2 linked regions of the Drosophila melanogaster genome follow. The protein of the gene in region 2 purifies or fractionates together with the protein of the main gene of each other region. This does not show direct contact. Each region holds a gene or a part of one and is shown on either strand. Other genes may lie near its edges. The genes, in order: Cyp6d4 and Fmo-1.

Region 1 (4,718 bases), on a different chromosome or scaffold from region 2:
GTCCACGGATGCAGCTGAACCAGGCCACGGCATTTATCGATGCCTCCGTCGTGTACGGCAATCTGGAGCAGCGGCAAAATCAGCTGCGCAGCTTTATCAACGGATCTCTTCGGATGTTTGTCACGGATGATGGTCGCCAGCTATTGCCCATTTCCTCGAATCCGGCAGATGGCTGCAATCGTGTCCAGATGACTCGACTGGGTAAATACTGTTTCGAGTCCGGCGATGATCGGGCCAATGAGAACCTGTTGCTCACATCTATGCATTTGCTGTGGGCTAGACATCACAACTATTTGGCTCGACAATTGCAGGAGCAGAATCCACATTGGGAGGATGAGCGGCTCTACCAGGAAGCCCGAAAGATTCTTGGTGCTCAGATGGCACACATCACCTACAATGAGTTTTTGCCAGTGCTGCTGGGGAAGAATATCAGCGAGGCCAAGGGCTTGCTGCCTGCCAAACACAATCTAAATGCTCCGGATACGTATGACCCGGAGGTGGATCCAAGTATTGCCAATTGCTTTGCAGCAGCCGCATTTCGATTTGCACACACTCTTCTACCGGGATTGTTTAATATCTCGAGGGATAACAGCACTCCCGAGGCCATCGAACTGCACAAGATGCTCTTCAATCCATTCTCGCTCTGGGCGGAGCATGGCATTGACCACGCCCTGATGACAGCGGCCAATACGCCGGTGATGCAAGTGGATCGCTTCTTTTCACTGGAAGTCACGCAAAAGCTTTTCGAAGGCACCGCAGAGGATAGGGTGCCTCTTTGTGGACTCGATTTGGTATCCTTAAACATTCAGAGGGGTCGGGATCATGGCATACCCTCGTATCCAGTCTTCCGTCGCCATTGCCGCCTGCCGACGGTGGACACGTGGGAGGAGATGTCACAGGCCATTGACAACGCTACTCTGGACTCCATCCGGCAGATTTATGAGTAAGTAAAGTTCTCGATTATAGTATTGCCTTAAAGGTAAACACTTTTGGTTTTTAGATCTCCGCAGGATGTGGACGTCTATACGGGTGCACTTAGTGAGCCGCCACTGGATGGAGCTATTTTTGGTCCGTTGCTCAGCTGCATGGTTTCCGACCAGTTCCTACGCCTCAAACTAGGTGACTCCCATTGGTACGAACGGAAAATGGGCCCACAGAAGTTCACCAAAGGTGAGAGTCCTTGGAAGTCCTATTTTCTCATTAAGAATCGTGTTTATCCTGATTCATAAGCTCAATTGGCGGAGATCTACAAGACCAGTCTGGCCGCCATCATTTGTCGCAACTCAGATGGAATCACCCGAGTGAGGGAGCATGTTATGCAGAGACTGCGCGATGGAGGTAATCCCCATGTGGATTGCCAGGACCTGGAGGGATTCCATTTCAATTTCGAACCCTGGTCCGAGAAGCAACAGCCCCAGGATCTTCATAGTGCCGGCATAAGCAGGGGATCCACTTCGGTGCGAGTAATGTCCAAGGCAAATCATCAAGCCCACAACGTAACCCTACATATTGATAAAGGAATCTAGTTAGAAACAAGATTCAATTTTGATTAGGAAGGATTTAATATTAAATATTATAAAAAACATATACTTCTAAACCGGTTCCTTCTATTTTAAAATAGAGTTGCTATGCTAAAGTTAGTTAACTAAACAGCAGCCCATCATAAATCAACAATAAGTCAACGAATTCTAAGATTATAAATCAACTTTTAAGTATTTTGTATATAATAATTGTTAGCTTATAACATAAGAGCTTTGTTTTGCATTTCACCATTAATATAAAGCTGTCATCAAGACTATCAATGTAGCTTTGTTCATTTAGAATTCTTCGCTGTAAAGAATTAAGAGAACGTTACTGCCAAAGAGAACAAATAATCGACGAATTTCAGCGCATATAAGTGGAGGCTCTCCAGTTTGATAGTCAGTTATATATTGACTTTCGCAGAGAAAGGGTGGATTTAAAAAAAAGAAAAGGTGCACTACTTCGACTATGTTTTCGCTGATTTTATTGGCCGTAACGCTATTGACTTTGGCGTGGTTCTATCTGAAGCGCCACTATGAGTACTGGGAGCGACGCGGATTTCCATTTGAAAAACACTCCGGGATTCCATTCGGTTGCTTGGACAGTGTGTGGCGGCAGGAGAAGAGCATGGGCTTGGCCATCTACGATGTGTATGTGAAGAGTAAAGAGCGCGTCTTGGGCATTTATTTGCTCTTCCGTCCGGCTGTTTTGATCAGAGACGCCGATCTGGCTCGCCGTGTTCTGGCCCAGGATTTCGCCAGTTTCCACGATCGCGGCGTTTACGTTGATGAGGAACGGGATCCCCTGTCGGCCAATATCTTCTCGCTTCGCGGTCAGAGCTGGCGATCGATGAGGCACATGTTGTCGCCATGTTTCACATCCGGAAAGTTGAAGAGCATGTTCAGCACATCCGAGGATATTGGTGACAAGATGGTGGCCCATCTGCAAAAGGAGCTGCCGGAGGAGGGCTTCAAGGAGGTGGACATAAAGAAAGTGATGCAAAACTATGCCATTGACATTATAGCCTCGACTATCTTTGGCTTGGATGTAAATAGCTTCGAAAATCCTGATAACAAGTTCCGTAAACTGGTGTCGTTGGCCAGAGCCAATAATAGATTCAATGCCATGTTCGGCATGATGATCTTCCTGGTGCCCTCGTAAGTAATAAGTGAGAGTGAGTTTTGCTATGGTGTGTCTAATGGATGTTCTTGTAGGATAGCACAGTTCCTATTCAGAATAGGTTTTAAAAATCCAGTTGGCCTGGCCATGTTGCAGATTGTCAAGGAAACCGTTGAGTATCGCGAGAAACATGGAATAGTGCGCAAGGATCTGTTGCAGTTGCTCATTCAGCTGAGGAATACCGGCAAGATAGACGAGAATGACGAGAAGTCCTTTAGCATTCAGAAGACACCCGATGGTAAGTCATAATACAAGTTAAATTCTAATCAAGATAGATTGAGTGGTTTAACGTTTTCAGGTCATATTAAAACCATATCCTTGGAGGCCATCACCGCTCAGGCTTTTATATTCTACATCGCTGGTCAGGAGACCACCGGATCGACTGCAGCCTTTACCATCTACGAGCTGGCTCAGTATCCAGAGCTACTGAAGCGCCTGCAGGATGAAGTGGACGAGACACTGGCCAAAAACGACGGAAAGATCACCTACGATTCCCTGAACAAGATGGAATTTTTGGACCTGTGTGTGCAGGAAACCATTCGCAAATATCCGGGTCTTCCCATTCTGAATCGTGAATGCACCCAGGACTACACAGTACCCGACACCAACCACGTCATTCCGAAGGGAACGCCAGTTGTGATCTCCCTGTACGGCATTCACCATGATGCAGAGTACTTCCCGGATCCCGAGACCTATGATCCCGAACGCTTCTCGGAGGAGAGTCGCAATTATAATCCCACTGCATTCATGCCGTTTGGCGAGGGTCCCAGGATTTGCATTGCCCAGAGGATGGGTCGTATTAACTCCAAACTGGCCATCATCAAGATCCTACAGAACTTCAATGTCGAGGTGATGAGCAGGAGCGAAATAGAGTTCGAGAACAGTGGCATTGCCTTGATTCCCAAACATGGAGTGCGAGTGCGTTTGTCCAAAAGAGTGCCTAAATTATCATAAAAATTACAATTGCAATGATGAAATACAATAGTTAAGTGGCTAGCAAATCACTCCGATTATTTGGAATGATAAGAGATTACCGTCAGATAAAAAACAAAAAGTGTACAATAAATTCATTATCAAATCATTAATTAATATTTAAATTCGAAAATAACTTTTATGAATTAACATAGTTTCTTGTTATAATAATGTTACTTTTAACTCGCTCTCTATTTATAGGTATTATGTAAATTATAAAGTTGAAATGAATATGTGTGTTTTGTTAATTTATTTGCTAAAGTTGCCTAGGTGCAATCCATCTGTTTGCTGTTGAAATACCTTTTATGATTGTCCTTATCGTTATCATAAGTATGCAATGATACGAGAACCAACTGCGATTACCAATTACTAATGTCACCAAGAGATAGCATAGGGTAACATATTGTATATTCAGTGTGGTAAAAATAATGAACTTTCTAAACCGTTTTCTATAATCAGATGTATTACCAATAAATACAATAGACCAGAAAACAACAAAAAGTGAGGTCAACAATTTTTATTGAATGCAATGCCAGTGCTGTGGAATTCTTCACAATTCAAGGAGTCATGGATAAAGATAGTATGTACAATAACAAAAGCAGTGTGCTAACCGTCCAGTCAATTTGCTTTCCAGAAATCCGACTATTCCGATAATTCCGATTTATCCGATTATTTCGATTTATTTGCTTTCGCGCTCCTCCAATTGCTGCATCTCCTTTTCATTTTGCAACATTTTCTGTTTGTTCTTTTGCCGAAAGATTTCCTTGCTGGCTTCTTTGATGGCCTCGAAGATTTTGGCCTGCGACATGATTTGCTTTTGAACATTTTCCACAGCTGGCTCGGCATTGATATCGATCAAATCACTTAGACCTTCGGATAAATACTCATTGTTATAGGGTTTCTCTTCGACTTCGTTGCGTTTGAATAGCGAGAATGGCGGATACGAGGGATACGTACGCTTTCGTCCACAGCCTGTAAATCGTCCGGATTGTAATGGATATTATTATATATTGTATTAAAATTACCTGTAAATGCATTGCAAAACG
Region 2 (4,218 bases):
GGAAAGGTCTCCTTGGCGGATGCCTTGCCAGGATCGGCAGAGGCGGGGGCGGAGACGGGAGCGGTGGCGTTGGCAGTTGCGGGGCCACCAGCATTGGCGTGGGCGTTCGCCCCCGTCGAGTGAGACCTTGTAACACTTGCGGCGACGAGTGAAAGTTTCTTCTCGCCGGATACCAAGGTCTTCCCAACCACGGGACAGTGGCTCCCGTAGGATTGGCACAGCGTCTCCGCGTAGTTGCGGATGAAGCTGGCGGTGAAGCGGTTCAAGAACGGACACTGCATGACGAGGCGCTATTCCACTTTTGAAGACCCGACCTAAATCAGCGAACTTTGAAAGCGAAGTGAGGTGTTCCGAAAATTATGCAAGAAGGTGATTGCGAGGAGGCGGGCGAGTGTGGCCAGAGCTGGTGAATGTGCGCTGCCCGCAATCAGCTGTTTGGAAAAATACCAACAAACATGTTCAAACAAATGTTTGCCGGTGTTCAAAAAGTTTTTGTTCGAGAATAAAAGCTCATTTTTTAAACTGTTGTTTTGGAATACAAGAATTGGAAATTTATTTTATTTCGAAGGGAAGTCCAAAAACGATGTTTTGGAATCTAATGCTCCTATTGATTGATTCAGGATCTAGTTGAGTTTAATGAATGTCTCGTCGTCCAGAATCGCGAAATTGTCCTCCCGGAAGTGGAGCAAATTCTCATTGAAGCACTTGCTGCTTTCGTTGTGCAATTTGGTCATCACAGGCTTGATGTTCTTAACTCCTGCAGTTTGCGACAAGTCCGTGAAATAGTCGATCTTGATAATAAATGAGAATAGAATTAATAACCAGATAGAGAAGTAAAGCCAACTTGCATCGCACTTGCTTGGGACCCAGCATGTGGGCATGGCGTTTTCTTAGTCCCTCCGCCCACAGTTTGCCCATCCTATCGCGGGTGTCCTTGAGCATATCCTCCGTGGACGGCAACTCGTTGGATCCGTTGTAGTAGCTCATGATGAACCTCGCTTGGATGTCCATCATTTGGGCGGCACAAACGTAAAACGGCAGTCCGATCAGAGCCATGGATGGGTTCCTGATGTTGATGCACTGCTTGTACAGCTCCTGGACGTAGTTGTCCTCCACATAGATGCCCGAGTCGACGGTCAGGAAGGGAAAGGCGTACTTGTAACCTGTGCAAAAGAAGACGGTGTCGAACTCCTGGTACGATCCGTCCACGAAAAAGGCTCCCTTCTCATCGAGCTCCCGCACATCGGGTTTCTGCTGTACGTTCTCGAAGAATGAGTGTTGCCCGATATCGGTCAAGTGGTGACTTATGGTGACCCGATCCGCCGTTCGGGAAATGATGTTCGACAGGTCCATGCCACTGGGACCAGCTCCAATGACCAGAACGGATTTACCTTGAGCAGAATGGAACACCATGTGAAATAACCTAATAGAAGTTATTCCTTAATTACCTTCGAAAACCTCCCTACTTCTGAAGTCGTGGCTGTGCAGGAACTGCCCTTTAAACCTTTCCATATTCGGAATTTGGCTATAATTCGGAGTGTGGTAGTGGCCATTGGCCACCAAGACCTTGTCGAAGTACTGGAACTCTATCTTGTTGGTGACCAAGTCTTTGAAAAGTACCTGCAAACGTTTCAGTTAAGTGGTTATATATAAAGCTGACTCCACGACTTACTTGCCACTTTGTTTTCCTCTGCAAAACTCGAATCACATAGCTATCGAACTTGATGTGCTTCTTCAGGTCGAAATGGTTCGCGTATTGGTTAAGGAAGTCGCAGATCTCGTCGGATCTCACATAGGAAGCCTCGTTTGCCCCGATTTCGAAGTCCGGGAAGCCCATTACCTCCTTGGGCAGGTTGGTTCTTTGAAGAGGCCCGGAAACTCTTAGAATATCAAATGGTTTTTCGAAAGATTTACGTACCGTAGGTTCTTGTACATGCTGCTGTGGACATCGATGCCATTGACCGCCCCTGTTGCCTCATTGTAAACCCAGGTGCCGCCGATTCGGTCAGATAGCTCGAACACAGTGGTCTCGAACCCATTTGCAATCGAATGGCGGGCACAGCAAAGACCCGCGGTTCCGGCCCCAATTATGCAAACGCTCATCATATTACAGTATTGGTTACAGCTTATATTAATTTTAATTGCTAGCTGCGATCCTAAGTGAGATAGGCCGGGATTGCTTTCTACACGCCGATTGCCTCCACGAAACTGAGGATCGCACCGTGATGAGCTCTTTGGCTTCCCCGCCTGATAGCCCTGCAAAAGTTGGGTACTTGGACTTCATTGAGAGGTTCGCTGAGGCCTTTAAGTAGTAAAATTATGCAAGTCTAATGAGAGTATCTTGCATTCGCAATCCGTATGAATCGCTGTGCTTGTTTTTTGTAATCGCGCTGATAAGAAAGAGCATAAAGCCTCTGCTTTTGTCTCGCCTTTTGTTTATGGGGCATATAAACATATATATTTATTATATTAATATTTACACTGCCGATAGGAAGCATAGGCGGCACAGCAATTGCCCACAGATGCTCAGATGTGCTCGATTCGTTGAGCAGTTCAAGGTTTTGGGCTATTATGGACTATGGGCCATGAGGCCAACTTCTTTGAGTTCGTCTTTTCCCACGCTAAACTGCGAAATTGAATGTGAGAAAATTTGCATGGGTCAGGCGGATTCGGAACGTACGTGCCGCAGTAGCAAAGTGCACGTCAAGATCGTCTAACATGGGGCTACCAGCTTGCATCTGCACCAAAGTTCTCCAACTGGCGAGTATCTTCGAGTTAGAAGGAGACTTTGAGTTACCTTGAATGATAGAGATACATCCCCATTAGATTGCCACGGTGGCGGCCCTGATTGTAAAGCGATTGTCGGACAAGCACTCGGAACGGGTGTTCGCCATCAACAAGAAGCAGTCCAGGGAGTGGACCCTCCTCAACAGCATCTCCTGGTCGAAGGAGGGCGATGACTTCGGCACGCTGACCTTCGTGGGCTATACCTTCATTGCAGCTGTGCTGCTGCTCACGAGGTAACTAACCACCCAGTGACTATGACATATATATATATGATATGCTAAGACCATCTCCTCTTAGGATCATCGAGGGCACCTCAAACTATGGCACCTGTGAGATAATTCTGTTGACCTGTGGCGTTCTGTTCTTCACCATAGAGGGTAATATGGCTCCTGGGATGCAGTAATGTCAGAGTGATGAACTCTCTCCTCCAGGACTACTGATATTCTTCACGGTGGAGCAGCTGTCCGAAGATCTGCTGATATTTGCCTATGCATTGGGAGCACTTTGCTTCATCTGCGCCGCTCTGTTCGCCCTGGACCTGATGTTCTTCAAGAACCTGCTGAAGCTGAGGGACTCCACCGTCCAAACAGACCAGTCGAAGGAAACAGTGGCCCTCAAGGTGTACAATCTTTCGCAGGAACCGAAGATGAGCTGCTGCAACATGATGCCCCGCACTCACATCGTGAACGAAAGCAGCAGGAACTATCTACGCACCGACTTGTAGACCCAAGTGAAAGAGCTCGAGATACATATGTATCTGCATCTGCGTTACCTTTATTGCCGTAACATCGAATGTAGTGAAACAAAATATGCATTATAAGATCGTGCTGCTGAAACAACTAATTGGACTCGTATGTTAATAAAGTTTTCGACATTAATCAACGCTAGAAGCGGCCGCCAACTAATACGCGTACACAAAACGGAATGCAGTGCCAACAGTGTAGACTACGATAGCAAAACCCCCGGGCTCCTCTCAGAACAGCAGGAAGGACACCCTCGTCCTTCGCGCATCCCCCTTGGCTCGGCGAGCCATCCCGTAATGTCAGGGAATGTCGCTGCTGCTCGTCGTCCCCTTGGAATCGCACATGCCGCCGGCCATGTTCTCGTTCGACCGCTCCGAGGTGAGTCCTCCGGTTATGCCAGTTAAATTTAGTTTGTACTGCAAGGCGGAGCAAGGGGATTAGGATTAGGATGGAGTTCGTAGAGGAGCTGGCACTGCAGCTTATGAGTGGCCAAAACCAATTGTTGGTTAAAGGTCACAGTTGGGTTAGATAAACACACGATGGGGGATCTTATCAAGCTATCAACTCAACTCAACTCAAAACTCAATACATCAAGATACATATGTACATACATGCGTGAAATACAAAAGTTAGCGATTAAGATTAAGATACAGCGCCATCTACATTAGCAAAGTCGAAAGTAAGAGAT

Evidence for each region.
Region 1: the proteins of Fmo-1 (region 2) and Cyp6d4 purify together in Drosophila melanogaster (affinity purification with mass spectrometry, with the first as the bait; one large-scale study listed by BioGRID). This does not show direct contact.

What each region holds. Positions count from the first base shown.
Region 1 is NT_033777.3:22,696,407-22,701,124, forward strand, and holds Cyp6d4 (cytochrome P450 6d4), read left to right. Parts: upstream 1-1,912; 5' UTR 1,913-1,989; coding exon 1,990-2,678; intron 2,679-2,735; coding exon 2,736-2,938; intron 2,939-2,998; coding exon 2,999-3,654; 3' UTR 3,655-3,901; downstream 3,902-4,718. Other genes in the region: cd (cardinal), read left to right, coding at 1-943, 1,001-1,170, 1,231-1,526; CCAP (crustacean cardioactive peptide), read right to left, coding at 4,352-4,644, 4,698-4,718. UniProt on the Drosophila melanogaster protein: May be involved in the metabolism of insect hormones and in the breakdown of synthetic insecticides.
Region 2 is NT_033778.4:23,960,948-23,965,165, reverse strand, and holds Fmo-1 (Flavin-containing monooxygenase 1), read right to left. Parts: upstream 2,211-4,218; 5' UTR 2,107-2,210; coding exon 1,919-2,106; intron 1,860-1,918; coding exon 1,673-1,859; intron 1,621-1,672; coding exon 1,449-1,620; intron 1,392-1,448; coding exon 856-1,391; intron 792-855; coding exon 624-791; 3' UTR 525-623; downstream 1-524. Other genes in the region: Alas (aminolevulinate synthase), read right to left, coding at 1-281; CG13566 (uncharacterized protein), read left to right, coding at 2,719-2,760, 2,827-3,020, 3,085-3,164, 3,219-3,511; alpha-Catr (alpha-catenin related), read right to left, coding at 3,830-3,946.